Linked DNA regions of Oryzias latipes. The main gene of each other region encodes a partner of the protein of the gene in region 5 in a complex. Links are inferred from orthologs where the notes say so. Each region holds a gene or a part of one and is shown on either strand. Other genes may lie near its edges. The genes, in order: smc5, non-structural maintenance of chromosomes element 3 homolog, nsmce2, nsmce1 and nsmce4a.

Region 1 (6,394 bases), on a different chromosome or scaffold from region 5:
TTTGATTGCAAGATTAGTTCAATAAATAACAACTTTCATAAAAGAAATAGAACAGTAAAATGCTTGTGCTACTGCTAATATATCCACACATTCAGTCTGTCTGTGCTAAATGTGTGGATAAAAGAATTTATATGAAAAAATGTCAGGTTTTTCAATCAATTTCTGATTGCAAATGTCAGTAAACTAAAATTTCTTCTGTATTTTCCCTTTGTTTGTAAAGGAATGTGACCACAGAAACAATGCTAGCAAAGACTCCTCCATTTGTATAGTGATGGGAATTCTGCTTCCTCTTACAGAGAATGGTTCCGTCTGGCTTGGCTCACCTGAAACAGCAGACCTTTTCAGCTCCCAATCAGCTCTTCAGATTGTTTTGTTGCTTTAATTAATTTAATATGAACAATAATATAAAATTATACACAAAATGAATTGTTCTTGCTAAAAAAGTGTTTTTATTAAAATGTGCTTTATATGAACATGCTTTTGTTTGTTAACTGCTGATGTAAGAAATAAATTATAAAATAGAAAAAACTACACTCCTACTCAAAACTATCTAATGTTTGGACTTTTTCATTTTAAACAAATTTAAAGTGAAAAAACAGAAAACATAACAGCCACAACACAAAATATAAATTTAAATGTGCAAAACAAGAAAAACAAGATTTTAATCATTCATAGTGAAAGTTGGCATTTAAAATGCCTAAGTGTCTCAGTTTCAGTCAGTGATGATGTGCTCTGGTTTTAAGATTCTCTCAGTTCTCAGGTGCGGGTTGCATTTAGAGCCGGTTATAGATGGAATTCTTTTCTTGCTCTTGATTCTCCATGTTTTGCTTGCTTTCCTGTTGTCAGACTCATTACTACTCTCTCAACGGCAAAGCCACAAACACAGAATGAGTTATGTCTCTCTTTAAGAACGGGCATGTTCATAGGCTGCTCTGAATTCAAAACTGCTGCGAATGGTGGAGAAGTGATGAAATGGAGATTTATTTGGAAAGTCACCTGATCAAATGCAACTATTATTTATTATAGTATTTATTAAGTATAATAAATACCTCTCTAGAAACAAGTTATGTGCCACAGTCTTTTAAATATGTAGTTGTGAAACCTATTCTAAAAAAGCTCAATTTAGATCCCGGCAATCTGGCCTGCAATAGTCCAATATCAAATCTCCCCTTTATAATAAAGTAAAGAAGAAAAAAAATCTCCCCTTTGTTTCAAAAATCATAGAATGAGTGGTAGTTAAGCAGCTTTACCGCCACCTACAGGACAATAGTCAATTTGAAGATTTTCAGTCAGGGTTCAAACTACACCACAACACTGAAATTGCACTATATAGAGTCTCTAATGACTTATTATTGGCCTCAGAAAAGGAACTACTGTCTATTCTGGTCCTGTTAGACCTCAGTGCAGGCTTTGACACTATCAACCACAGTATTTTACTCCAAAGATTAGAGTATGACATAGAGATCAGAGGATTTGCCCTCCAGTGGTTTGAATCCTATTTATTCGATAGGGACCAGTTTGTTAATGTAAATGGACAGTCCTCTCATGGAACTCGAGTTAGCTACGGAGTCCCACAGGGCTCAGTTCTAGGACCCTTCCCCTTTATGCTTTATACGCTGCCCACTATTGATTGTCACTGTTATGCGGATCATACACAGTTGTATTTATTTGGAGGTAGAGCCTTTAGCCATCAAGCCCCTGTTCTATGGGATAAGCTCCCAGTTCATGTAAGAGAGGCCAACACAGTTTCTACATTCCAAGTTAGGCTTAAAACATTCCTCTTTATTTCCAGGCAAGTAATAGAGAATATTTATCTTATTATTAACATGTTTGAATTAAACTTAAAAACAACAACAATTAGTTGCTGGTGGGCTGCTCCAGATCCTGCACCACACACACTTCAAGACATAATCTGATCCCATTGCAACAACAAAAATAGTTGTCTTTTACAAATATCTTTTTAAAATTGTGTTTATTTATTAATTTAACAGGGTTAAATAAAAAATAAAAAAACAGTGCCCTTTTTTGGGGCTTGGAGGAGGTTGCACTAGTATAAAATTAATAACTGTGAGAGAGTTTGTTTAATGTAAACAGTTTAAATATGTACAGGTGTTTCTATTTAGTACAGAATGTTTCAAATACTGGTTACTTTATTTCTCAGTATAAAAGAGTAAAACATTTTTTTGGGGGGGGGTGGGGCACTGTTTAGAATCTTACGTCATCAAATGTGGACACACGTGACCTATCTTCACCAATCATCTTTCAGCTTTGCCTCGGGAAAGCGCGGCAGGGCAAACTGTTCTTCCCATCACTAGTATATCAGTGTCTGTTGACATGGCTGAGCCTAGTAAGAAGCAGCGGCTCAGCCACCATAACAACAGTTCACAGACTCCTTCCAAGGCCTTCTATAAGACCAGGGATGTCGATGAAGCTCATCCGTTTGTGGAGGGCTCCATTCTGCGCATCACCATGAAAAACTTCCTGTAAGTTCCACCTCCTTTTCACTAGTCACACTAGTTAAGCTAGCTATGCTAACGCCAAACTACCGTAAAAGCTTAGCCTCTACATTTGCTCTGACAAGCTGACATATGATATGTTTTACTGAAGCGTGTTTTGGTTTACCGATGTTGTAGAAGAGGAATAAAGTCAGTAAGCTGGGCTGTTTTTGCTCCGTTAACGTAGAACTCATCAGTTGTGTATGTTATGTATTTTAATTCTAAACGACTTCAACTTTAGAAAAATGAAAACTCTTTTGTCAGGTTCGGATATGATGTAGTCTACCAGTAATTGTTATTCTTACGTCTTTAAACTCAAATGTATTTTTTCGTCTTTTTTTAATTTACAAAATTTGGAAAATATTAAAAGCAAAGAGCCAATGTCACATTTGTGTCTGAGAGTTTGACAACCCAAAACTGAAAGTGCCAATTTAATGTCATCTGAATTATTTTCAGTGATGTTAACTGAAATCTTCCAACATCCTTAAATTGTCATAATATTCAATAAAGGGAAAAAAACATCACATGATTTGCAACAAGAATGACAGAATCTACAGAATAGATGAAAAGTGCATTAATATAGTGTAAAACACAGTTCTCTACACTTCATTGCATTTCTGCATCATCTTTGAACAGTATTAGAAAATGTGAGATTCAGTCTTCAGTAACATTCAGTGTACTAGTGTCAAGCATGAGTTTTACAGTTCCACAAACCACATAAACAGGTTTCTACGAGTACCTTTATGTATGTTTATTGTGTTAAAATCGCGTTGTGTGTCACTGTGCTTTAATCTTCTTCTCGTATCATTAATTTAATTGAATTGTTGAAAAACAGATAAAACCCGTAATGTTGATGTTTTTTGTTTGAAGAATTAAAGTGTGACTTTCCTGCATGTGGCTGGAAAATGACCGGTGTCTTCGCTGTACTTTGGCAGGACCTATGACTACTCTGTGGTGTGTCCTGGACCAAATCTGAACATGATTGTTGGTGCAAATGGAACTGGCAAGTCCAGCATTGTTTGTGCCATCTGTCTGGGCCTGGCTGGAAAGACCGCTGTTCTGGGGAGAGGAGATAAGGTAAATGTACTGTTGGGATTTATTTAGTTGAAGTGTGTTGATGAGATTCTCTATAAAAGATCAGAGTAACTGGTAGATTTTGACAGAAGCCTTAACCTTGAACAGTTCAGCAATGTTGCATCCCATGACTCACTTAAACTTTGGCCAAATATTTACTTGTTGTGAGGAAACTGATCATTCTAAACAGGACTGTAGATAAAAATAAGGTTAAGGTCGTACCCTTCAGTTTGCTGCACACAGAAACGAATGAATAATGACTCAGAGACAAAACTTATCTTTTGTGGAAGTTTTACTTCGTACAAACACGAAGGGGACAGACAGATGAATATAGTGCATTCAAAGTCTGAACACCGAAGCTCAGAGAGATGGTCTTGGTATAAGAACCCTGCATTTGCATATTCAGAAGATCATACACTGGACAGTGGTGTGAAAATCACGGCCACAGGTTGTTGCAGGCGAGATGCTCGAAGGTCAAGAAGCTTCAAGTGTCACAAACAGCACAAACACCAGCACACACAAAAAGGAAAAAGGGAGGATGAGGAATGCTATGAGAAAACAGTCTTGGTTGTGCTTTCTTCAAATGTAATATAATTTTGAGATGATAATACATGCTTAGTGACTTAAGTTTAAACCATTAGTGTAATAAAAGTTAAAGGCAGTTTCTAACTATTCTTCACACTTGTCCTTATCAATTAAATATGCTTCCAACTTATGTTTGTTATAGATTTTAAGTTCACTCAAATACAACAGGGACATTACAGAAATAAAACGAAATGGCACATAGACGTTTTTTACCCCTTATTTTGAGTTCAATGATACAAACAAAGCAAAAACATGTACCGGTAGGACAAACCTAAACCTATAAATCACTTAACAAACAAGGGGGTGTTGCAATGTTCAATACACAGAAAAGGACAAAAAGGGAAAAAAGGAGAGAAAAAAGCACAGAAATGTATACATTTTTGGAAAAAAGTTAGAATTGCTGCAAGGACTTTAAACAGGTTTGACTTCCTTTACCTTTTTTTCAGGTTGGGCTTTATGTGAAGCGTGGCTGCCATAAAGGGTCCATTGAGATTGAATTGTAAGTTATGTGAAATAATTTCCACAAAGTCACTCATTCTTTTAAAAACAGACATTTCAGCCACAGTTGTTTTATAGAAAAAGCTTACAGCTCCTTAACATTGGTGCCCTTAAACATACTTATTTTTTGTAACTGTCTCTGTTCTGTTGTTGAAGGTACAAAACAGGAGGTAACATAGTCATTAACAGGGAGATCCATGTGGAAAATAATCAGTCCCTTTGGATGCTGAATGGGAAACACTGCAACCAGAAAACGGTAGAAGAGGAGGTCAAGGCTCTGCAAATTCAAGTCGGCAACCTCTGCCAGTTTCTTCCTCAGGTATGTGTTTGTGAAAGTGCCAAGGGTTTAATAGACAGAAAACTGCTCAAGTTCCTTCATGTTGTGTTTTTCCCAACAGGAAAAAGTTGGTGAGTTTGCCAAAATGTCTAAGATCGAGTTGTTGGAGGCAACTGAGAAGTCTGTGGGACCCCCAGAGATGTACGAGTACCACTGTGAGCTCAAAAACTTCCGCAACAAGGAAAGAGAATTGGAGGTAATAGTTAAAGCTTTATGGTTTATTTTTTGTACTTTTGTTTTCTGGGTTTTGAGCAAAACTGTTTTCTGAGGGTTTCGTCGGTTTTTGAGATTCTAATATTTCATTGTAGAATGTTGTAAAGGAGAAGGCAAACTTCTTGGAGAAGGCCAAACAACGAAATGAGAGGTACAAGCATGATGTCAACCGTTATTATGAAAAGAAGAGACATCTGGATGTCATTGAGCTTCTGGAGAAGAAGAAACCATGGGTTGTAAGTGTGTCACTTTGGTTTAACAAGAAGGAGACAAACAAACAAACAAACAAACGGGGCATCTTTCCTGTTTCTGTTTCCTCCTGGCAACAGGAGTACGAGACTACCCGTAAGGAACTTGAGGGTGTCAGAAGGGAGCGAGAGGAGACCAAAAGACAGCTTTCTGCCCTACGACAGGCCCAAACTCCCATGCTAAGAAAAATTCAGGACATTGATGACCAGCTGAAGCCCACTGAGGCACAGATGAAGACCAAGGTAGAGAGACGGTGCTGCATTCTGCTCAAGACATACAGAAGCTGACATGTATTTATGAGATGTTGTCAACTGTTGTCCTAACACACAGCAGGTCAGGGAAAGTATTTGAAAGTCAGCGATTCTGCAAAGTGTCCCATTTAAAAAGGTGAGAGAGGTCTGTAATGTTTACCACAGTCAGTCTCTCTGGGATCTCACCATGCTGTGATTGCACCAAATAGGGCTGCAGGGTATGAGAAAATCTGTGATGTACGTTATTAGTGATCAATATTCCAATGACGAATGACTTGCGATACAGAACAAATCCTGCAACGTCATTTCCATTTCATTTCATCAGTTTTATTGAAATAAAAGTCAATATAACTAAAATTTTACTCCAAATGACCCTCGTCTACATAAGAACCAGGCATCTCACATTATAACAGTTGACCAATTCGATTGGTCAACTGTTATAATGGATCCGTTTCCCACAGAAAGTAAAACACAGGGAGCTGCAGCATTTGTTTTTAGAAATCCCAGTGTTTCCAGTGAATGGCATCATTTCACTCATTGTTAAAGTTTGTGAAGAGATGTTCCTTTTATTGTAACCTCTGTCATTTAATGCGTTCCAATGAGATCTATTTCACGAGGGGCCACAAAACGAGCAAATATGTTGTAAATAACCAGCAGTTAATCCACTTGTCCAATAGATTTTTGTCAGCAAA
Region 2 (4,643 bases), on a different chromosome or scaffold from region 5:
ATGTTTGTTGAAGCTTAGAGCAGCAGACTGTTGTCACGCCTCTTCATGGAGGACCAACCTTTCATCTAAGTTCCACCTCCCTATTTGAAGGGGCGGAGCAGCAGCAAAGCATTTTGGTAAACTTTCCATGAGAGTTAAAGCTTCACTTCACGATGTAACTGGTGATGAAGACATGTACTATATTACCAAAAGTACTGGCTCCCCCGTCCAAATGATCAGAATCAGGTGTCCTAATCACTTGCCCTGAACACAGGTGTATCAAATCAGGCCCTCATGCATGCAGACTGTTTGTGCTAACGTTTGTGAAAGAACGGGCTGCTCCCAGGAGCTTCATGTTAGCCCAAGTCCAGCACGCAGAGAGCTTCATGGAAGGGGTTTCCATGGCCGAGCAGCTGCATCCAAGCCAACGTCACCGAGTGCAAAGCAAAGCGTCGGACGCAGTGGTGGAAAGCACGCCGCCACTGCATCTAGAGCAGTGGATAGGGAGTTTGAACATGCGACAGCTGCAGAGGTGACTCACTGCCTGCTAATGTCTTCTCAGACCTTGTGAAACACGTGGTGAAGGACTACAGAAACATCTATCCTGAGATCATAAAGCGAGCAGCTCGGACCTTTGAGCAGGTTTGTTCTACCTGACTGCATTCTTGTCTTCATTTATTGTCTCAGTAGATCACATTTGTGAGGTTCTTCTTTTTTTAACTCTTGCTCAGGTGTTTGGTTTGAAACTGGTTGAAATTGACCCCAAAAATCACACATATATATTGATCAATAACCTGGAAGCCGCTGACAAACCTTCACCAGTCGAGTGAGTATCGTGTCATTTTGAGAAACGCTCATTTGAATGGTCCATAAATGAGGTTTATTGTTGTTTTTCTGTGTGTGTAGATGCCCTGCAAATCCCAAACTTGGTCTACTTTTCGTGATTCTGGGTGTTACTTTCATGAAGGGAGGTGTCGTCAGAGAAAGTGAGTTTAACAGGTTTTAACTATAGTTTTGTTCCTTATTCAGTCAATTCCATTAACTGTTTTAGTTCTGTTTGTTTTGCTCAGTAAAGACATTAAAGTTTACTCCTCTTGGTTCTTAGATGTCATCTGGAACACACTAAAGAAACTGCGAGTTGACTCTGGGTGAGACCATGTTTTTGTGCCTTTAGCGATGGTTTAAAAACCTTCCATAGGTTTCACTGCCTTCCTCCTTTTCTGCATGTCTGCTGATGAAAACCTCAGAGAGAAGCACGAAGAGTTTGGAGACGTGAAGAGACTCGTCACAGAGGAGTTTGTGCGTCAAAGGTAAGAACCAGCGTAGCAGTAGAACATTCTTTTACGATCAATCAAATAAAACAAGAAATATGAATTAGGCTCTGCATTATTACTGACTCACACAGGTACGATGGCTTTTTCTAGCAGCTTAGCAAACCTGTGCTAGCTGAAGGCAGGCCTGAACCAAAGAAAGATTTTCGTTATCGCGGTATCAGCCTGTGCGATATGCGTATCGCCAAAGACGGCATAAACTGAGATAAATGGTTACCTTAGAAGTTTACACACATGCAAAAACAATCTCATGGCAGAGTGAAGTAGCTAACGAATCAACTTAACCCTTGTGCTATCCAATGGGGTCCAGATGACCCCACCCTTACATTATCATCGTTGCAATAATGATCACTCCAATCACACTCTGAAATTTTCCTCCTGTTGTGCAGCCCTGGCTGCTGGCGTCCTGTGGATAAATGTTGCTTACATTATGAGGTTACGTAGCTTCAAACACAGAAGTTGTGTATTTGTATAAACCCCTCTTGTGCATGAGGCTAGACTTGATGTACGTTGCATTTTTCATGCATTTCTTTTTGAACCAGATTGAAGAGAGAAGACGGCGAAAGAGTGGGACGTTCCACATTATACTCTTTCAGCTTGGAGGACTTCTGTTTTGTTTTTTGACTGTTTTACTTCTTCACTCATTTGTTTTCGTCTGTTTGAAACGCCTCTCTGTGAGCTTGAATCCCACTGGTGTGTTCAGAGCCAGTTTCTCTCAAACCATAGACTCTGGTTTATACCACACCACAGAGCAATTGAAGGTGAAGCCGCCAGCCCCCCAGCAGCACGGCTGGAGCAGTGCACGCTTCAGACATCGACCTTTGACGGTTCGGTCCAGTCTGACCCCAAGTACTCTGTATTTTAGTGACGCTCCTTCCAGACTGTCCTACGCTGTTGACCTGCATTGTTCCAGCTCTGTCTCCTCTAATTCCTTTGTAAGCCCGGAGGGATGACCGTGGGAATGCTGGATGTCTGCAGGTATCTGGAGTATGTGCGGATTCCTCACACTGAGCCCATGGAGCATGAATTCCGCTGGGGTCAGCGGGCGGACATGGAGGTGTCCAAAGCCAAGATTCTGGAGTTCATGGGCCAGGTGAGTGGCTTGTTGGTGACCACGGTTCTGCTTTGTGGTGCTTTCTTCTCAGATGTAGACTAGTGGACTCTGAACTGACGATGCTTTGCTGTTTGCCCTCAGCTTCATGAGCAGGAGCCTCAGAGCTGGACTCAGCTGTACAGAGAGGCTCAGGCCAGCAGCAGCAGCCAGAGATGACTGCCATCGCAATGCTTTTATTTATTTTGGAAGCGGTCTGTGCCTTTTTCTATTGCATTATTGTTATGAATGCCAGGTTTCTCTGTATCTTTTCATACATTTTATTAAAAAAAATAAATCTGTTCAAGCTATGTGACAGCCTGTCACGGTCTGCTGGTTTTTCATGCGTGTACGAGAGCACATAGCCGTTACTGCTGCAGAAATCTGTTAGTTTGAAAAAGCTCCTAAGTCTTCATTTGGCAGGTTTGTGTTGTGCTGCTGAGTCAGCTTCCAGGTTTAACAGCACGCCAAAACCCTGTATAGTAATAAAATGGAAGCCTTTGAGTTCATCTAATGCTACTTTGTTTTTGAAGTTCTCAGCAGGTGATATGGGAATGAACCCACTTGCTAGTCCAGTTTGTCATCTGGATTAATGATTTAACAGTAAATTGGACATAAAACAGAACTTGCGTATCAATTGACCTGATAAACGAGCAGCAGACTGCAGCTGCAGCTCCAGCATGTTTCAGTCTATGGTGATGAGCCTGAAGCGGATGAGAACTTCCTGTGTTTTTCTGATGGTGAAAGCTGGATGCAGTCAGTCTGAGAGCTGCAAGTGACAACAGTCTTCCATCTGCACAAAGGTTTGTGTGGGGAAAATGCTGTTTTTAATGCTGGTCCAGTGGTCTCAAAGATGCAGGAAAGCCTGTTTCCTTTGAGATGGGAACACATTCGTCAGGATGATGCATTTGTGGGAGGAGCAGCTGAAGTCAGATTGCAGAAACCGACTAGCGGGTAAAGTGTCTTTATTTCAATAAACTGGATCCCCAGCTCGGTCTGGCTGCTGCTCCTGGTCACATGCTGCAGTGAAGATGGCGTTCCACTCCAGACTCTCCACAAATCACTCAACATATGGTTGTCATGGTCACTGGTACAAACGGCAACAGCCTTCCTGTCTGCTAATCTGCAGAAGACAACCTGTGCATTTGTACTTATTGAGTCTTCCTGTGAGGAAGAAAGGATCCAGTTTTGAAAATGGGAGCACCTCGCATTTAGGTCTGTGTGCTGTGGAGATGGCAGCCGGAGCCCAGAAGCTCCACTGGACCAACTTCAGGGTCAAATTTCTTTGTGTAGAGAAGTAAAAGATGCGATTTTTAGGACCAGAAAAGAACTTCTCAGCAGAAATCATAAAATGCCCATAATGGTTAAATTCCACTGGGTAAGTATTTCTGACAGCATTAAGATGAAAGGAAACGGCTTGAATGTAAAACTCCTGGGAAGCAGAGTGGCAGAGCTGCGTCCTCTACATGTGGTCTGGAACCGTCTCCAGGGCCTCCTCTGGGTCTCTGTCCACGTCCACATTCTGACAGACAGGAAGAGGACGGATCCTTATTAGAAAGTTGTTTACATTCATTTATGTCCACACAGGAATATTGATTCTGCTTATAAATATGCAGATTAAAATACAATAACGTGAATAAAAAATGAGAGGTTTGAAAAATATATATTTTTAAACACTGTAGAATTTATGAACATTACTAAACTGTAAGGAAATGTTCTAATAATCCTTTACTTTTGAATTTTCAGTGTTTCAATGAAAACCTTTCCAATAGATCTGACATGTTATTTATGTAACAAACTGCAGGCCAATAACTTTTAAACATATGTTGGCACTAACTCCAAAAATGTTTTCATAACAATACTGCACAAGGAAAATAGGCCAAAGTTGAAAAAGTATTGTAACTGTATATGTTTGAAATATTTGTGGTTTGTCATAACTACAGCCATAAGATTGGATACGTTAGAACAAAATATATGAATGTATAAGAACTTCACACCATTACCATGTAAAATACCGGTATTTTGGTTTATTTGTCTTTGGTTACATTCAATTCAACTTTATTTAGCTCATGCAACAATAGCTGTCTCAATGGGCTTCATGCAAGAACATGAAATCATTAAAAATGTCATCATCAGACGGGGTCTGAGTGACTTCATGTAAGTTAATTCTCTGATGGGGCTTTTATTGCATGTAAAACTACATGTTTTAACTTTTTCTGTAGTTTGGTAATTATAGTAATATG
Region 3 (6,399 bases), on a different chromosome or scaffold from region 5:
CTTTTCAAATCGTTGTTTGTGTCACTAGAACTTCCTGACAATGCTTCAGAAGAGCATCCTGAAGGACAAAGCCTTGGTGGAAGTCTTCAAAACTGTGCTGGCTGCAGTCAACCCAGTCCAAGGCATCGTCGGTAAATTCTTGTTCTCATTCATGAAAATGTATAGCCAAAGTCATGTATTGGTATTAATCATTTGATTGTGTATTTTGGCTATATAGCCAATGCCAGCAAAGCGTACACGAGTGCTGTGGCCAAATCCCAGAAGATCTGGGGTCCATACCTGGAGGCCATCATGAAGGTAAATCAAAACATTTATGATTTTATTTTTCGATATATCTGCTCACGTCATGAAAATGATGTTCCATCCCTTTGTTGTAGGTCGGTCAGATGCAGATTCTCAGACAGCAGATTGCCAATGAGCTTAACTTCTCCTGCAAGTTTGACTCCAAACACCTGGCAGCTGCCCTGGAAAACCTCAACAAGTAAGTGTTGTGTTTTCTGCCAAATTCAGGCTCTTTTTATGCAGTTTTGTATGGAAAATATGTACCTAGAGATGTAGTTCACGAGGTGTTTCTCACTTTTTTTTTTTTTTAGAATACATTCATTTCTAACAACTGATAACATTTGTTACTATAGCATATTGTGTTTTTGTGAGCTTAAGGCTACATTTTGCCACCTGTTGTGATCTCTTCTTCTTGTTAGGTCTCTTCTGGCAGACATAGAAGCACACTACCAGGATCCATCTCTCCCTTATCCTAAAGAAGAAAACACTCTATTGTATGAGATCACTGCCTACCTAGAAGCTGCTGGAATTCATAACCCGCTCAGCAAGGTTTGCAAGGTTTTATTTTATTTTAATTAGCCTGTTAAAAATGCCACATTTCACCAGTAAACAATGTTTATTTCTTTTTGGTTCAAACAGATTTACATCACCACAAAGCGTCTTCCTTACTTCCCCATCATCAACCTCCTGTTTATCATTGCTCAGCTGCCTAAACTTCAGTACAACAAAAATCAAGGTGCGTTTCACTTCTCGCTATCTTAGCTTGATGGATTGGAATCTGTGAATTTCTGTGGTGACTTTTTCTGTGTACACGCCAAGTTAAGGATTTTCTCTGTGTAAAAGGAATGACCTGCAAGAAAGCAACCGATCCTGTCGACTGGCCCCCACTAGTGCTGGGTCTGCTCACCCTGCTCAAGCAGTTCCACTCCAGATACACACAGCACTTCCTTGCTCTGCTTGGACAGTTCATCCGCTCTGTTATGGAGCAGTGCACAAGGTAACTAAAAGTTTAACATTTTGATCAAACCCATTGTTTGCAGTTTTCTTAAATTTGTCTTTTACTGGTGTCACAGCCAGAAAATCCCTGAAATGCCCTCTGATGTTGTGGGGGCCCTGATGTTCCTTGAAGACTATGTAAAATACACAAAACTGTCACGCAAGGTAAGAAAACAGTTACTTTAGAGGTGGTTTATTTTAAAGGTATCTGGAAGAAAAAGAATTGCTATGTCATGCTAAGACAGCTTGTTTTTACAAACTTGAAGGATTGTTAACATGCATTTCTTTTTATTATCTATCTGTTTTAAGGTGGTTGAAGCTCATGTACCCAGTTTCATTTTTGACGAATTCAGAACTATTTTGTGAGCCCCCGGACAAGGACATCAAACTGAAGATGCAGTCTTTGTTTGTACTGTACTTTTCTTTGTTTATATTAGTCTTGATCTAGTGGCAAAGATTTTTGTGGTAGAAGCAACAATCATTTTGCTCTAATTAATTGTTCAGAAATTAGGATGTGCTTTTTTTCCCCCCATATACATTTCATGCCCAGCCTTATAATCTGTTTCTGCAATGTTATAACAAAATGTGTTTTGTTAAAAATACATTTTTATTTCAACCAGAAAAGGCCACAATGTCAAATGTAAAAAAGCTTCAAGAAGTAGTTCATATTTCATTTTCTAGAACAATAAAGTTTTGTATTAATAAACTGTACATTTAATGCTCAATCAAAAACATTTCCATACTAATATTTTGTGGTATTGTTTATCAATAAATACAGTATAATTCTTTACTGCTCGTTGTTTTCTTTATGAATTTATTTGATGGCTTTTAGTTTGAAGAAACAAACGGAAGTGAAACTGTAACTTCCGTTCATCTCAAATGTTTACTACTTTTCTTCCTTTTCCTTCTTATTTTTTTGTTATCGTTTGATCTTTGGTTGTACTTTGAATTAAGAATAGTTACTTATCTTTTTTGTTTTTTTTTCTATTTTGAGATACATTGGCATATCTCATCTTTTCGCAAGACGGCGCGAGTATAAGGCTAGCAGTTAGCTAGCTAGCCGTTAACATAAGGAAGATATCAATAACGGTGAACACACAGTGATTTTTCTTTGGACTTTAGGGATAAAAGTTACGAACACAATGTCTCTGAGTGCTGTCAACGGCGCATTGTCCAATTTAAAATCGTGTTTGGCAGACATTGCGACGGGGATGGACATCGTGACGGACGTTGCCATAGATGTGGTGGAATCTCAGGGTAAACATTCGGAGCCTGCATCATTTTCTGCAAACGTGATCAGAAATGGGTTTTATTCTTCTAGGATCAGTTAGTATAGTGAAGCAGTCCAAGAACATGGTGTTTTATCGCAATTATGCTAAACATGTGACCAAGCTCCATTCAGCGTGCACTTATATTTTGTAATAATTGAGTTTATATTTGTGTATATTTTTTACATTTCAGATGAAGAGATGAACTCTTCCATCAAAGAGCTGGAGACCATGATCCTGGACTGTGCCAAGCTGGACAGGGAGATTAACATCTTTGTAGACATCGCAAAAGAAGTTACATCCGAGGTAACTATTATGATGAGGATCAGGTTTAAAAACAATAATTCATTTAGGTCATTTACTGCAGCGTTATCTGTCCCTATTTTTGCTTGTTTGTGCTTTGATTAGATCCGTGTTTGTAAAGCGCAGACTCATTTTTATAAGTCTAAAAAGAAATGATCTAATATGCCTCACTTTGGTGCAGGTGAATGCACAGCAACCAGAGGCCTTGTTCGGCCTTTCTGACAAAGTGAAGGAGCAGTTCTCAGAGAGAATAGCCCGACTTTCTGATGATGAAATCCACAGCCATCAGAAAGTGGCTGCCTTTAAGGACAGCATCGGGAACGCTTCAAAACAAAGTAAGGCTGTTGAATTTTTTTTTATATCTCTATAAAATAATTTCACTGATTTCTGAGGCATTGTTTGAAAGCGCATCTTACTTTTTTTATTTATTTTTTTATTTTTTAGTAATGTGGTATGTTGAATTTGAGAAGATTGTTGGTTTAATATTGTATTGTAATTAGGTAAGTGGCCACCAGAGGGCAAGCCTACAAGTTTCATTGAGTTGTAGCGCCGTGTGGTGACAGACGAAGAAGTCAGGAACCATGGTGGACAGCATCCACTGTTCAGAAAGGTTCTGTTATGCAAATGAAAAACTGTTGCACCCAGTTCAATGTGTGGGACCTTCATTTTTATATGAAGATGCAACATCTTTTTGGTGAAGAGGATTTTTAAGGAGGAGAAAAGCCCATAGACCTTAGAAAAAGAGAGAGAAAGAAAAGAAGAAAGAAGCAGCAGAAAGATACGTGGTTAACCTCCCACAGAAGTGAAGCATGGCAACAATTGGCACGCCAGCAGCGTTTGATCCAAAGACTCAAACTTGGGTTAAGTATACAGAAATACTTGAACAGTTTTTTGCGGCCAATGAAATAGACAATCAAGACAGACAAAAGGCAATGTTGATAAGTGTAGTTGGAGCACCGACCTACAGTTTATGCGAACCTCCTCAGCCCAGACAAGCCAAAAGACAAGTCCTTCAATGAGCTTGTATTACTGATGAAGAACCATTATGACCTAAAACCATTTATTCGGTGAAATCAGCTACTTCACAAATCACCATTGAAAAATTGCGACAGAGTTTCAGTGTGTTTGGTCCTCCAAAGATGTTGGTATCAGACAATGGGACATGCTTCACAAGTGCAGAATTCGAGACATTTATGAAACAAAGTGCAATAGACCATGTAAAATCCACACCTTTCCACCCATCATTTTTATATTAAGATGCAACAAGTATAAACTGCATAATTTTCCAATTTATTGACTCAAAACATTTTTCAAAATCTGTGTTTATCTTACTAGCTGCGTTTATATGGACAAAAGTAATTGGAAAGAACACCTGATCGGAAGAAAAATGTGTCATGTAAACACGCCGTTCGGAATACTCTGCCCCGATCAGACTTGTTCTGATCAAAATTTCTTTCCAATCGAGATAGGTGGGTTATGCCGATTGTTGATCGGATCGAGTGAACCGTGTCTCTGAGCAGAGAAGCCAGACTTATAGCTTTGTGTTTGAGGGGAGGAGAGGGTGCTTTGTAACGTGTGTGCTATGAGTGGGAGGCTTTGGACTGCAGCTCTAGGTGAACGAGCTGCTAAACTCAGGAGAGCCGGGTCTCCCAGTAGAACTGTGTCTTCGAGCAGAGCACACAGCGGCTTTGGGGCGGTGTGTGCTTAAAGCAGAAATGTCGCTCAGTCCTTAGAAACCGTTCAAACAATCACGTGGATTTGTGTTTCCATTCGTGTCCCGACAAAATAAAGGCTGATGTTATTCCCACATATTTACATGTAGCCAAGATGCAGATTGCGGCGTTTCCCCCATGGATTTTATGTTCATCCAAGGCTAAATGTTGTTAGCGCATGTTAGCCTTCTACTCCTAACGCTAACGTCTTCCGGGTCCGTTCTCCCAGAAAAAAAAGAGCTGACCACAAAGATTAAAAATAAATAATGAGCAAGCAGGCGCTTCATAATAATCATAACAATAATAAAAGCACGTTTAGAAGATCATCTGGCGCATGTAAACATTTATTATAATCGGAAAAAGTTTTTCTGGGCCCATGTACACGGTTGAATTCGAATCCGATCAAAACATTTTGTACATGTAACCGCGGCTAATGTTTGTGTCTATTTTTCTGAAGACATCAATAAAGGTTGCATATTGAAATAAATGTTTAAAAATAGCAATAATTTGCATTCATTTGCATAATCCTTGAAGATAATTTCAGCCGGCAGCATTTACAGGCCACAATGAAGCCGAATTTGTTGTGAAAATGATCTATAAAATGAAAAAAAAAAAAAAGATTTATGTGTAGGTGGATGTCTTGAATGTCTCTGTTGCACACTTTTAAATGTAAGATTTTGTGGATGGAGGGTTTATTTATTTGGAAAGCAAAATATGTTGCTCTTTAGCTACATTCTGGCATTTACCTGCGTATTTTCCTGCCGACTTTTTAAGGGTTTTGTGCAACAAATGAAGGTTTACAAATGAGATGCTTGTGTTCTTAGCCAATCAGAAATCAGCAGAGAACACGGAGGAGTTTGATGAGGACATCGCCGTCACACAGAGCCAGGTCAATTTCACCTGCCCGCTCACACAGGTACATCGCTGACCCCCCCCCCCCCCACCACCACCTATTTTCTGACACACCTGTTTAACTTTTAACGTTAAGCTTTTTTTTTTTTTTTTTTTTTTTTTTTAAGGTGGAAATGTTAAAACCAGTCAAAAATAAAAAGTGCAACCACTACTATGATGAATCTGCCATCTTGGACCTGATCAAAACAAGACGCAACTTGAAGAAGAAGTGCCGGTACGAAACCCTAGTCTTTTGAGCTAATGAAACTTTATAAATCTAGTTCCATTTTGAGGATATGGTGATGTTCTCGATTACAAAGTTTGTGTTGGAGGGATTTAAGTGTTCCAAAGAAGAAACTGATATTTGTGCTTTGTTCCATTTCATTTAGATGTCCTGTGGTGGGCTGTGAAAACGCAGATGTGAAAGAGTCAGACCTCATTCTTGATCAGATACTGAGAAGAAGGATTCAGAACCAAAAGAAGAAAAACAGCAAAAATTAGCACTGCTTTACTGATAACCTATCTGTCCATGTTTTATTTTTTGGGGTGCAAATGTTCTATTTTTGTGCAAATATTTGTTCATTAAATCTGAATTTTTGGAACCTTTTGTCTTTTTTTTTTATCATGTTTGATATTTTGGTGATGCAATAATGTGGCTACACCACAAGAGGGCAGCGTTTCCACAAAGCCGTTTAGGGGCTTTTTCTACTATTTTAAATTAGTGTCAGGTGAAGATACTGTAATTAGTAAATACAGTAAAAAAAAAAATGAAACAATTGAGAGTTCCATCCTCCAGTTTTGCAGAAAAATATTTTTTTTGATGTAAAGATTATCCTGAAACTTCCAAGGTGACAAACAGTCTGTTCTTTCACCTCTGTGGAAATGCTCTTATGTGTTTAAACCTCGCTTTGCTTATTCACGCTGCTTATGAAGGGTCATTATTTCAC
Region 4 (6,334 bases), on a different chromosome or scaffold from region 5:
CACGAGACAACACAAGACAACACGAGACAACACGAGACAACTCGAGACAACACGAGACAACACGAGACAACTCGAGACAACATGAGACAACATGAGACAACATGAGACAACACGAGACAACACGAGACAACACGAGACAACATGAGACAACACGAGACAACACGAGACAACACAAGACAACACAAGACAACACGAGACAATATGAGACAACACGAGACAACTCGAGACAACACGAGACAACTCGAGACAACATGAGACAACATGAGACAATATGAGACAACACGAGACAACTCGAGACAACATGAGACAACACGAGACAACTCGAGACAACATGAGACAACATGAGACAACATGAGACAATATGAGACAACACGAGACAACTCGAGACAACATGAGACAACACGAGACAACTCGAGACAATATGAGACAACACGAGACAACATGAGACAACATGAGACAACACGAGACAATATGAGACAACACGAGACAATACGAGACAACACGAGACAATATGAGACAACATGAGACAACATGAGACAACATGAGACAATATGAGACAACACGAGACAATATGAGACAACACGAGACAACATGAGACAATATGAGACAACACGAGACAATATGAGACAACACGAGACAACTCGAGACAACATGAGACAACATCAGACAACATCAGACAACATCAGACAACATGAGACAATATGAGACAATATGAGACAACACGAGACAACACGAGACAACATGAGACAACATCAGACAACATGAGACAACACGAGACAACATGAGACAACACGAGACAACACGAGACAATATGAGACAATATGAGACAACATGAGACAATATGAGACAACACGAGACAATATGAGACAACACGAGACAACACGAGACAACATGAGACAACATCAGACAACATGAGACAACATGAGACAACATGAGACAACACGAGACAATATGAGACAATATGAGACAACATGAGACAATATGAGACAATATGAGACAACACGAGACAATATGAGACAACACGAGACAACACGAGACAACATCAGACAACACGAGACAACACGAGACAACATCAGACAACATCAGACAACATGAGACAACATGAGACAATATGAGACAACATGAGACAACACGAGACAACATGAGACAACACGAGACAACACGAGACAATATGAGACAATATGAGACAACATGAGACAATATGAGACAACACGAGACAATATGAGACAACACGAGACAACACGAGACAACATGAGACAACATCAGACAACATGAGACAACATGAGACAACATCAGACAACATGAGACAACACGAGACAATATGAGACAATATGAGACAACATGAGACAATATGAGACAATATGAGACAACACGAGACAACACGAGACAACACGAGACAACACGAGACAATATGAGACAATATGAGACAACATGAGACAATATGAGACAACACGAGACAATATGAGACAACACGAGACAACACGAGACAATATGAGACAATATGAGACAACTCGAGACAATATGAGACAACACGAGACAACATGAGACAACATGAGACAACACGAGACAATATGAGACAACACGAGACAATACGAGACAACACGAGACAACATGAGACAACATGAGACAACATGAGACAATATGAGACAACACGAGACAATATGAGACAACACGAGACAACACGAGACAACACGAGACAACTCGAGACAACATGAGACAACATGAGACAACATGAGACAACATGAGACAACTCGAGACAACACGAGACAACATGAGACAATATGAGACAACACGAGACAACACGAGACAACATGAGACAACATCAGACAACATCAGACAACATCAGACAACATGAGACAATATGAGACAATATGAGACAACATGAGACAACACGAGACAACATGAGACAACATCAGACAACATGAGACAACACGAGACAACATGAGACAACACGAGACAACACGAGACAATATGAGACAATATGAGACAACATGAGACAATATGAGACAACACGAGACAATATGAGACAACACGAGACAACACGAGACAACATGAGACAACATCAGACAACATGAGACAACACGAGACAATATGAGACAATATGAGACAACATGAGACAATATGAGACAATATGAGACAACACGAGACAATATGAGACAACACGAGACAACACGAGACAACATCAGACAACATCAGACAACATGAGACAACATGAGACAACATCAGACAACATGAGACAATATGAGACAACATGAGACAACACGAGACAACATGAGACAACACGAGACAACACGAGACAATATGAGACAATATGAGACAACATGAGACAATATGAGACAATATGAGACAACACGAGACAATATGAGACAACACGAGACAACACGAGACAACATGAGACAACATCAGACAACATGAGACAACATGAGACAACATCAGACAACATGAGACAACACGAGACAATATGAGACAATATGAGACAACATGAGACAATATGAGACAATATGAGACAACACGAGACAACACGAGACAACACGAGACAATATGAGACAATATGAGACAACATGAGACAATATGAGACAACACGAGACAATATGAGACAACACGAGACAACACGAGACAATATGAGACAATATGAGACAACATGAGACAATATGAGACAACACGAGACAATATGAGACAACACGAGACAACACGAGACAACATGAGACAACATCAGACAACATGAGACAACATGAGACAACATCAGACAACATGAGACAACACGAGACAACATGAGACAACATCAGACAACATGAGACAACACGAGACAATATGAGACAATATGAGACAACATGAGACAACATGAGACAATATGAGACAACATGAGACAATATGAGACAATATGAGACAACACGAGACAACTCGAGACAACATGAGACAACATGAGACAATATGAGACAATATGAGACAACATGAGACAATATGAGACAACATGAGACAATATGAGACAACATTACTGTGTGAGCTAGCATAACCTGCTTTCTGGAATACCCCCCTGGGCTATCATAGGTAGTGGGTGCAGTATTTAGGGGGGGTGACACTTATAAGTGTTTTACTTGTTCTCAATCCTCTTCAAACATTCATCTTTCTTTTCCTATCTATTTTTCCTTATAGCATACATCTGAAATAAAATATTGTATCTACACGTGTCTGTCTATGCTCAATGTGATTATTAGCTGGATGTGTTGAAGGAAATACCAGCCTGAAGTTTAATAAAAAATGTTTGAATTAATTACTCATATATACCAGACATTAAACAATATTTGTCCCAGTTGCAACAAAAAACCTTTGTCTCAGCTTAAAAGAATAACCTAAAGTTAATTTTTGTTGTTTTTTACTTTTGTAACCTAAGTCGTTGTTAAACGGATTTACTCTTTGTTCTCTATGTCAATGTTCTGAAAGTGTTTTAAAGCTACTGCTAGACGCTTGCATGACAAAAAAGGCACGAGAGTTGAATGTTATCACCATTATTTAAATACAAATGTAAAATATGGTTTCACAAACAGCATAAACTCGCAAAATGTCAAAGATAAAAAAAAACTGGGATGTGTTTAGCAGTTTGGAAACCCGTTAACTAACTTATTGGGTTTGTGGTTTGAAATCAAATGTAATTAATCTCTGTTAAATAATGTGCAGAGCGACTTTTCTGCTTTCTATTCGCTTCATTTGACAATATTTACACAGAAAAACATACATCCACAAGAGTTTACAGATGTTTACCTTTCCCGCTCCAGCACGAGGCACTTCCGTGTCGGTTCTTCTTCTTCCCGCCTTTCAGAGAGTTATTGCTATTGATTACTGCCACCTGCCGTCAGGGAAGAGAACAGCAGATCACATTGTTTTCACACACAAATTCACCGACAGCTCAAGAAAAAACGAGAAACACCATAATCACTAAATGAACAAACAATTTATTAGAAAAATTAATACATAATTTATATAAATACTGTAGCGACCTGGGGGTTAGGGGTTTATCTTCTTAGCCTCTTTCTTCCCCTCTGAAACTATCCAGGGTTGTGTGGTGTGTGGGACATGGTCAGCTCTCTCATGTAGCCACTTAATAAGCAGCTTGGCTATAGTGACTTACCATCTGGGTTGTTACAATACTAGCTATAGTTATAGAAATATTATTTTTTAAAATACTGTACAAAATAAACAATTTAAAACACAGAAAATACATTAACTGAAGAATTATTAAGACTAAGTTTGAGTAGTCTAAAATAGTATTGTAAATAAAACTATTTTCTCTTTATATCTCAACATTTTATTATGAAAAAAAACCTGTTTATTTACATAACTTATACCAGTAACCTAATTTCCTGCTATACATATTAATAGTCCAAGTAAATGCTCTAGTCCTGCCTGCATGCACTCATTTTCTATTGTAGAGTGAATGTGGCATTAACCAGTCTTCAGTGGTCCGTCACCTTCATCCAGTCTTCAGTGGTCCGTCACCTTCATCCAGTCCTCAGTGGTCCGTCACCTTCATCCAGTCCTCAGTGGTCCGTCACCTTCATCCAGTCCTCAGTGGTCCGTCACCTTCATCCAGTCCTCAGTGGTCCGTCACCTTCATCCAGTCCTCAGTGGTCCGTCACCTTCATCCAGTCTTCAGTGGTCCGTCACCTTCATCCAGTCTTCAGTGGTCCGTCACCTTCATCCAGTCTTCAGTGGTCCGTCACCTTCATCCAGTCTTCAGTGGTCCCTCACCTTCATCCAGTCTTCAGTGGTCCGTCACCTTCATCCAGTCCTCAGTGGTCCGTCACCTTCATCCAGTCTTCAGTGGTCCGTCACCTTCATCCAGTCCTCAGTGGTCCGTCACCTTCATCCAGTCCTCAGTGGTCCGTCACCTTCATCCAGTCTTCAGTGGTCCGTCACCTTCATCCAGTCTTCAGTGGTCCGTCACCTTCATCCAGTCCTCAGTGGTCCGTCACCTTCATCCAGTCTTCAGTGGTCCGTCACCTTCATCCAGTCTTCAGTGGTCCGTCACCTTCATCCAGTCTTCAGTGATCCGTCACCTTCATCCAGTCCTCAGTGGTCCGTCACCTTCATCCAGTCCTCAGTGGTCCGTCACCTTCATCCAGTCTTCAGTGGTCCGTCACCTTCATCCAGTCTTCAGTGGTCCGTCACCTTCATCTAGTCTTCAGTGGTCCGTCACCTTCATCCAGTCTTCAGTGATCCGTCACCTTCATCCAGTCCTCAGTGGTCCGTCACCTTCATCCAGTCCTCAGTGGTCCGTCACCTTCATCCAGTCTTCAGTGGTCCGTCACCTTCATCCAGTCTTCAGTGGTCCGTCACCTTCATCCAGTCTTCAGTGGTCCGTCACCTTCATCCAGTCTTCAGTGGTCCGTCACCTTCATCCAGTCCTCAGTGGTCCGTCACCGTCATCCAGTCTTCAGTGGTCCGTCACCTTCATCCAGTCTTCAGTGGTCCGTCACCTTCATCCAGTCCTCAGTGGTCCGTCACCGTCATCCAGTCTTCAGTGGTCCGTCACCTTCATCCAGTCTTCAGTGGTCCGTCACCTTCATCCAGTCTTTAATGGTCCGTCACCTTCATCCAGTCTTTAATGGTCCGTCACCTTCATCCAGTCCTCAGTGGTCCCTCACCTTCATCCAGTCTTCAGTGGTCCGTCACCTTCATCCAGTCTTCAGTGGTCCGTCACCTTCATCCAGTCCTCAGTGGTCCGTCACCTTCATCCAGTCTTCAGTGGTCCGTCACCTTCATCCAGTCTTCAGTGGTCCGTCACCTTCATCCAGTCTTCAGTGGTCCGTCACCTTCATCCAGTCTTCAGTGGTCCGTCACCTTCATCCAGTCTTCAGTGGTCAGTCACCTTCATCTAGTCTTCAGTGGTCCGTCACCTTCATCCAGTCTTCAGTGGTCAGTCACCTTCATCTAGTCTTCAGTGGTCCGTCACCTTCATCCAGTCTTCAGTGGTCCGTCACCTTCATCCAGTCTTCAGTGGTCCGTCACCTTCATCCAGTCCTCAGTGGTCCGTCACCTTCATCCAGTCTTCAGTGGTCCGTCACCTTCATCCAGTCCTCAGTGGTCCGTCACCTTCATCCAGTCTTCAGTGGTCCGTCACCTTCATCCAGTCCTCAGTGGTCCGTCACCTTCATCCAGTCCTCAGTGGTCCGTCACCTTCATCCAGTCTTCAGTGGTCCGTCACCTTCATCCAGTCTTCAGTGGTCCGTCACCTTCATCCAGTCTTCAGTGGTCCGTCACCTTCATCCAGTCTTCAGTGGTCAGTCACCTTCATCTAGTCTTCAGTGGTCCGTCACCTTCATCCAGTCTTCAGTGG
Region 5 (6,450 bases):
GTAAAGAATACCAATTTAATTTCTTTATTACCTAATATAAGTGTCAATTTTAGGGATTGGGGCAAACAAAAATATTAAGCTGCATTTGAAATCTTTGTCGTTTCTATCTACCAAAATACTAACAAGAAGCACAAACAAAAAATGTCTTCCAAAAATATAGTATTATAGTAAATAAATATAGTATTTTGTCAAATCGAAATGATGAAAAACTTCAACTTTCTTGATTTTAAGGTTATTAAATGTGTTTTGTCAGCTACAGTCAAACCAGGGCTGTGAATTGTTACTTTTTTGGGGGGGGGGGGGGGGGGGGGGGGGGGGGGGGGGGGGGGGGCATCCAACTATATTTAAATCAGTTTTTTAGTACTTATATCAGTAAACTGAACTTCTGTCTCTCCTGTTTTCCATCTACAAACCCACTTTTACTGTCACTGAACCTTCACTGACACTTCGGCTGACAGCAATGCATTTGGTTTGTTTAGTTTGTCCAACATTACTCTGCATTTTTGAGTGAAAATTACACTGCACTGCACTTTTATTACTCTCTACTATATTTATAAAGGTAGCGAATCAGCGATCTCGGTCATCGTTTGAGTTTTCAGATACTCGTTACCGCCCGAAAAATCGAGCAATTGTTCATAAACACCAATTTAAAATAATTCAAACATTTGTAACGGATTCACATGCCTCTGTTTAAATCTGTATTCTCTAAGAATAACTGATCTCTATCTGCATGCTGGATGATTATCATCATCGTGTCTTTTGTCCCAATGGTTGACAAATGTCAGACAAATATACAGAATATTGAGATTTTGTGGTGTGACTGTGGAATGTTGAGCAGAGGAACGTCCCTCTCTCCCTCACATGTAGTGGAAGGACGGAGCCGTCCGGAAACAACACTCCACTCGTCTGGACAGCCGGTGCCAGGCGTCTCTGGGCAGGTAGCCGTCGGCTGCGCCTGCATTCTGCGGACCGCCGTCTCCGTCCTCCAGTCGGTTGAGTCCCATGAAGGACAGCTGGAGAAAAACACAAACATGTTCATTCATAGATCCACGGAGGTTTCATTATTATTCAGAGAAACATCCAGTCAACTCTTTGCTGATTATTCAGCAATACTTTTTAGAGAGAAATGGATTTTATTTCAGTTTTTCTACTCGTACATATTTTTGACTAAAAAAACAAAAGAGGAGACATGCTTTAGTAAATGTGCGGATCTTTTACCAATAAGGAAATTAATTTCTTTCTATTCGTCTCCTCTTAGCTTAATATAAAAACATACCAGCCAGAACAACTTACTTAGCAGCGTGGACTCGGGCTGTAACGAGTATCCGAATACTTTGATTTTTTTTATCTTTGACGTCTAAAATCGCAGATTTGCGATCTTTATATAGTATAGTAACAAAATATATACTTAAATGCAACTAAAATGCAAAATAATGTATTTTTAATATAGACTAAACAGGCCGTATGCACCACTGTCACCAGAAGTAAATAAATCTTCAAAATAAAGTGTCAGTGAAGATTCTCATTTTCAAAGTAAAAGTATCTCGTATTTTTATAGAGGACAAAAAAATTAAAAAAAAGTACTGAAAAACAGATTTTGATTGAATGTGGAAATTAAATTACAGTAAAAAATATATATAATAAATATGAAATAAAGAATAATACAAAAAGGAGGTCATGTGACGGTGTAAAAGAAATTCTGTTTTCGTCTTTACGCTTTAAGGACTGTGAGTGTTTTCTAGTTGTTTGCGTCTTCATTTACTATCGATCTAGTGGGACTGTCTTCAGCTAAACATTCAGCTGTGGAGAACATTTTCAGGGTTTGTTCCAAAACGACCTCTGTGTTTATGTTTTGCTTCCTGCTGAAGTCAACCAGGAAGTTGAGTGTGTGATGTTGTTTAAAGTGATAAAAAACATTTCTTTCTTCCTAAATCTGTGCTTTTGTTAGTGATGTTCTGTTGATCTCCTGTTCTAAATAAAACGTGTAAATGATGGTGATTGAATACATAATATTTTGATTTTCATTCATCCAATAAAAATACAAACATGTAGCAACCATTCAAACATAATATATAAAATAATCTTGGTTTGATCTTGATTCATGAACTGAATCAATCAATGTTTCTAACATGAACTCCATAAAACATGAATTTTTCTGGGGTCCTTCATAAATTCGGGGGAACAGACATCCCAGCAGCTCTGTGCAGAACAGCAAACACACTCACCAGATGCTCAGCAAAGGCAGTGGGGTCAAAGGCGCTCCCCTCTGAAAACAGCTGGCTGGCTTTCTCTTTGCCCAAGTCTGTGGCCACAACGAGGAGCTGGGCATCGAGAGCAGCTTCTCTCGCTCTGCGGACTGTCAGAGAAAAGTTAATCAGAGCGGTTCACCTGACAGGTTAGAGAACGTGAGCACTCTGTGTATAAATACTTTATTACACCATAGGGGTGCAATAATCAAGCTACTTAATCAACGAATCATTCATACTACGATTCAGACAGATCGATCTGTGTGAGGTAGGTTGTTAATTGAATTGCTCTTAATCGTCATAATCGTTTCAAAATAAAATAAATTGATTACTTTGGAAAATACTCTTTGACTTGAGACATGGTAGTTTTATTTTACCATAACATAAAAATGACCAATCACAGCCAGTCCTAAGTGTGGAAACAATTTGAATTTAGCAAAGACATGTGACCATATATCGTGCTAGAATAATCTTTTATTTTGATGTGGAAAAACCACAGTCTGTAGGAAACTAAAATGTGAATGGATTTGCCATTATTTCCAGCATTTCTCCCTGAGTCCCACTGATGGAAGTTTTGGCTAAAGCTGTCTTGGATCCATTGTAGGTCAGTGAATCAGATCGTTCAAAATGAACCAATATCGACTATAATCCTATGGTCATCCACAAACTATAATATGAATCGTTACACCCCTAATAAATCGGAATAAATATATTTTTTCTGGCTGCAAAAAGCGAGGAGCTTTATATAAACTTTATTCACTGAAATCTGGGTCATTCTGTTTAAGAAAACCGTTGTAACATCTTATTTTGGATGCAAAAAATAAAAAGGAGAGCGCGCGTGCGCCCCATCACAGACTTTCAGTGGTTGCCATGACACCCACCATCTTTGAACAGCTTGTTTGCCTCCTCCAAAACCTCTGTGAGTTTATCCGTGGATGGACTCAGCATGTCCTCCCTGTTTTCTGTGGGGAAAAGGTCAACGTGAGGGGCGGCGTGAACGACTTGTTTGTAAATAATGTAAACAAGTAAACAACTGCTGGTACTGACGCTGCACGGTGTTGATGAGGTCCCGGTATTTGCTCCGGATCTCCCTCCTGCGGCCCGTATCGTTGTCGTCGTGTCCGTCCTGCAGACCGACCGGGTTGGTCTCAAAGTCTGCTGAGCCATTCTGCCGCGGAGCTTCCTCGTTTCTTCTGCTCTTCCTCATCGCAACGCAACGGACACCGGGAAAAAACGTGAAAGAAACTGCCGCGAAAGGCAGATAAACCTAAAACTGTTTACAAAAGTTTTGCCTAATCAACTCCACACTCCTCGAAGAGTTGTTAAGTTTTCGACTAACTAAACACGATTGTTGTCGTTGCAATTACTGCAGGATGTTAATGTTATTGTTAACGAGGCAAGCATGGATGGAGCGAACTAACTTATTCGCGCGCGCGCTTTTCTACAGAGAAGCTAATTTCAGAAACCGATACTGTAGAGAACTAACCGTTCACTTGTCACGTAAACAGATCTTTGGCATGTTTCTCAAGTTTACGAAGAATTGAATAAACTGTTCAAAAAGTAGCTTAAAAACACACACCGACATGCCTACGCCACTGACAAAGGTTCCGGGTTGAGACTTCCGGGACAAACAGGAAGCTGAAACCAAGCGCCAACACCAAGCGGAAAACAAAAGGTTAAAACTAAAGAGATGAACTAAAGCCTCTACAAAATATATTAATTTTAAATTTTGGGAATTTAATATACATTTATCCCATTCACTACTGATTTATAGATGTATTTAAATTTCTAATGTCAACGTTGAGTGAAAATCATCTTAAGAGTCCCCGTTGACACAAAACCGGAAGTTAAAACGACGCATTATCTTGTCCTTTAGCATCTTGGGGATTTGCAACAGTTGCAAATACTGTTGTAAAACATAATAATAATAATAATAAGTAACGATTTAAGTTAATCCCCAAACTGAACTTAAAAAAGCTATTTCTGCAGTAGATGTAGACCTTCTGACAAAAAGTAGACATGAAGTAGGTAAATAGATAAATAAAAAGTTGCATAAAAAACTTGAGGGAAACCCTAATTGTTACATCTTAAAACTTTAAAAATAATCATGAACTTTTAATCGAAACATATTCAAACATGCATATAAATTGTGTTTAAACTGAAAAATTCAAAAGGTATTTCGTACACTCCTCACTGACAAACTGCTTCAATTGTTAATGTATCTATTTATTTTAAGGCTGTATTCTTCTGGCAGTGTTTCACATAACAAATTTGGTCCACAAGAGGATCTTCTTTGGCATTTTATTTTGAAATTAATTTATACGTGCTCCTGTCAAAACTTAAATCAGTTTAAATTGTTACATATAGACAAATATAAAACGTATAAACAAAGCATCATTTTTAATTGGTGAAGTGGGGCCTTTTCATTGGATTTTGGTAAGTGAGAAACTGGACCAAACGGTCTCAGACGGTCATTCAAACTATCCGACAGACAGGTGAGGTTTAATCGACAGTGAACCACGTGACGCGCAGATAATCCCCTCCTGACCCGCAAGCGCCGCACTGATTGAGTTGTGCGCAGGAACCGCCGAGGCTCTTCGATGGCTGGGTTTGGGTTCGGTTCTGGATCTCTCTCTTTGAAGAACTTTGGGTCGGATAGAGCGGAGAAGGGCAGCCTCGTTCCGTCGAGCTCGCGCGACCCATGCGCCGGTCTCAAACCGGTTCAGCTTCTAATTAAATCTCTGAACGATTTAAGCGCGGGGCAGAGGCGGTCTGCGGTGCCTTTCGAGACGATGACGGTTCTGCACGAGTCTTATGGAAAAGAAAGATCTAAACTTTTGCAGAAGAAGCGCGAGGACGGGACAGATGAGGCGTGGCGCGCTGATGACGCAGCCTGCCGCTCAGAGGAGAAACCTGGTCCAGGACGGAACCGTTCTTCATCAGATGAGCTCCAGATGGCAGGACCTGTTCCATATGCAGAGCTGTGCTTCAAAGGCAAGACCTCCTGCAGGTCCACCTCCTCTGTTGCTGAGAGGAGAGACCCAGACAGGGGCACAGGCACCAGCTTCAGCCTGGGAGATCTCAGACACTCCCCATCCACTGAGATGAGAATTAAGACGCTCGCCACTGAAATCCAAAAGAAGATGTGCGTCACAGTGTCAGAAAGGGACCAAAAGATAGCCGCCCTGATGCTGGTGAAGCATGAGGAGCAACAGGAGCGTCTGAGACTCTCTCAGCAAGAGGAGCAAAAGCGTGAGGAGGCCCGGAAACAGGCAGAGTTCCTGCAGGAGCAGGCAGAAAGACAGCGGAGAAAGAAGCTGAAGCACAGACTCAAGTGTTGGCACCATGAGCTGGAGGCCCGCAGGAGGCGGAGGGAGCGACAGGAGCAGAAGGAGGCAGGACAGCTGGAGCAGGAGGTGCTGCTGCAAGAGGACCGCTGGAGGAGGCTGAAAGAGGAGGTGGATGCAAAACGCAGAGAGAAGATAGAGGCTGCACAGAAGGAGGCAGAGGTGCGCAAGCGTCACCAGGAGAGGCAACTGAGAAAGGAGGAGGAGAAGGAGGAGAAGGAACGAGAGAAGGAAAGACAGGTTGCCGTAAAGAAAGAAGGGAGAGCCCGGAAAAGCAAAGTGCAGCAGGAACAGAGGGAACGGAGGAGGTTGCAGGAGGAGAATCGCAGGGAGCAGCTCCGACACATCCTGCTGAAAAAACAAGTGGAGCAGAAGATGGAGGAAGAGGAGGCTCAGGTGAGGAGCGCACTTGAGAGAAAGTTCCAACACTTCTCAGAGAAACGGGCTCAAGTTGCGGAGGCTCAGAGGAGGGAGCTGCAGGAGCGCAGCGTCCGGGAAGAGGAGCAGATCCAAAGAGTGCAGCTGAGGGCGGAGCTGCAGAGCCTCCAGCGGCTCACGCACCGGCAGATGCTGGTGCAGCTGAGCCAGAGGCGCGTGGAGAACGCCGCTCTGCACGCCTCCTCTCTGCAGAGGAGCAGAGCTCAGCAGGTCCGCCAGCACAACGACCACAGACAGGCCCGCCACCGGAGGATCCGGGACCAGATCCAGGAGGAGGAGCAGGCCGTCACCAAGGCCAGAGAGAACCTCGTCTCCGAGAAGGAGCGGAAGCGGGAGAGGCTGCAGAGGCAGAGAGAGCAGATCCAGGAGGAGGCGCAGAGGCTGGCCCGCGCCTCCTTTCACATGAGGGAGCGCGTGCG

The links.
Region 1: nsmce4a (region 5) and smc5 share a complex: the UniProt entries of both Homo sapiens proteins name them as parts of the SMC5-SMC6 complex. The link is inferred for Oryzias latipes from reciprocal best matches to the Homo sapiens genes NSMCE4A and SMC5.
Region 2: nsmce4a (region 5) and non-structural maintenance of chromosomes element 3 homolog share a complex: the UniProt entries of both Homo sapiens proteins name them as parts of the SMC5-SMC6 complex. The link is inferred for Oryzias latipes from reciprocal best matches to the Homo sapiens genes NSMCE4A and NSMCE3.
Region 3: nsmce4a (region 5) and nsmce2 share a complex: the UniProt entries of both Homo sapiens proteins name them as parts of the SMC5-SMC6 complex. The link is inferred for Oryzias latipes from reciprocal best matches to the Homo sapiens genes NSMCE4A and NSMCE2.
Region 4: nsmce4a (region 5) and nsmce1 share a complex: the UniProt entries of both Homo sapiens proteins name them as parts of the SMC5-SMC6 complex. The link is inferred for Oryzias latipes from reciprocal best matches to the Homo sapiens genes NSMCE4A and NSMCE1.

Annotation. Positions count from the first base shown.
Region 1 is NC_019865.2:11,200,247-11,206,640, reverse strand, and holds the start of smc5 (structural maintenance of chromosomes protein 5), read left to right. Parts: upstream 1-2,280; 5' UTR 2,281-2,334; coding exon 2,335-2,483; intron 2,484-3,430; coding exon 3,431-3,572; intron 3,573-4,600; coding exon 4,601-4,653; intron 4,654-4,808; coding exon 4,809-4,971; intron 4,972-5,050; coding exon 5,051-5,185; intron 5,186-5,297; coding exon 5,298-5,438; intron 5,439-5,531; coding exon 5,532-5,693; intron 5,694-6,394. UniProt on the Homo sapiens protein: Core component of the SMC5-SMC6 complex, a complex involved in repair of DNA double-strand breaks by homologous recombination.
Region 2 is NC_019865.2:30,989,743-30,994,385, reverse strand, and holds the end of non-structural maintenance of chromosomes element 3 homolog, read left to right. Parts: intron 1-541; coding exon 542-621; intron 622-710; coding exon 711-805; intron 806-885; coding exon 886-965; intron 966-1,084; coding exon 1,085-1,127; intron 1,128-1,226; coding exon 1,227-1,289; intron 1,290-2,288; coding exon 2,289-2,403; intron 2,404-2,505; coding exon 2,506-2,580; 3' UTR 2,581-2,721; downstream 2,722-4,643. Other genes in the region: 6-phosphofructo-2-kinase/fructose-2,6-bisphosphatase, read right to left, coding at 3,863-3,922. UniProt on the Homo sapiens protein: Component of the SMC5-SMC6 complex, a complex involved in repair of DNA double-strand breaks by homologous recombination. The complex may promote sister chromatid homologous recombination by recruiting the SMC1-SMC3 cohesin complex to double-strand breaks.
Region 3 is NC_019874.2:13,947,562-13,953,960, forward strand, and holds the start of nsmce2 (E3 SUMO-protein ligase NSE2), read left to right. Parts: upstream 1-2,124; 5' UTR 2,125-2,420; coding exon 2,421-2,535; intron 2,536-2,739; coding exon 2,740-2,852; intron 2,853-3,030; coding exon 3,031-3,184; intron 3,185-5,385; coding exon 5,386-5,477; intron 5,478-5,580; coding exon 5,581-5,687; intron 5,688-5,841; coding exon 5,842-5,953; 3' UTR 5,954-6,399. Other genes in the region: washc5 (WASH complex subunit 5), read left to right, coding at 29-131, 218-297, 378-481, 702-831, 922-1,018, 1,126-1,279, 1,356-1,443, 1,588-1,644. UniProt on the Homo sapiens protein: E3 SUMO-protein ligase component of the SMC5-SMC6 complex, a complex involved in DNA double-strand break repair by homologous recombination. Is not be required for the stability of the complex.
Region 4 is NC_019859.2:37,083,718-37,090,051, forward strand, and holds the start of nsmce1 (non-structural maintenance of chromosomes element 1 homolog), read right to left. Parts: upstream 3,871-6,334; 5' UTR 3,760-3,870; intron 1-3,759. UniProt on the Homo sapiens protein: RING-type zinc finger-containing E3 ubiquitin ligase that assembles with melanoma antigen protein (MAGE) to catalyze the direct transfer of ubiquitin from E2 ubiquitin-conjugating enzyme to a specific substrate.
Region 5 is NC_019873.2:26,869,493-26,875,942, forward strand, and holds the start of nsmce4a (non-structural maintenance of chromosomes element 4 homolog A), read right to left. Parts: upstream 4,106-6,450; 5' UTR 3,454-4,105; coding exon 3,294-3,453; intron 3,209-3,293; coding exon 3,128-3,208; intron 2,357-3,127; coding exon 2,226-2,356; intron 1,014-2,225; coding exon 862-1,013; intron 1-861. Other genes in the region: coiled-coil domain-containing protein 177-like, read left to right, coding at 4,847-6,450. UniProt on the Homo sapiens protein: Component of the SMC5-SMC6 complex, a complex involved in DNA double-strand breaks by homologous recombination. The complex may promote sister chromatid homologous recombination by recruiting the SMC1-SMC3 cohesin complex to double-strand breaks.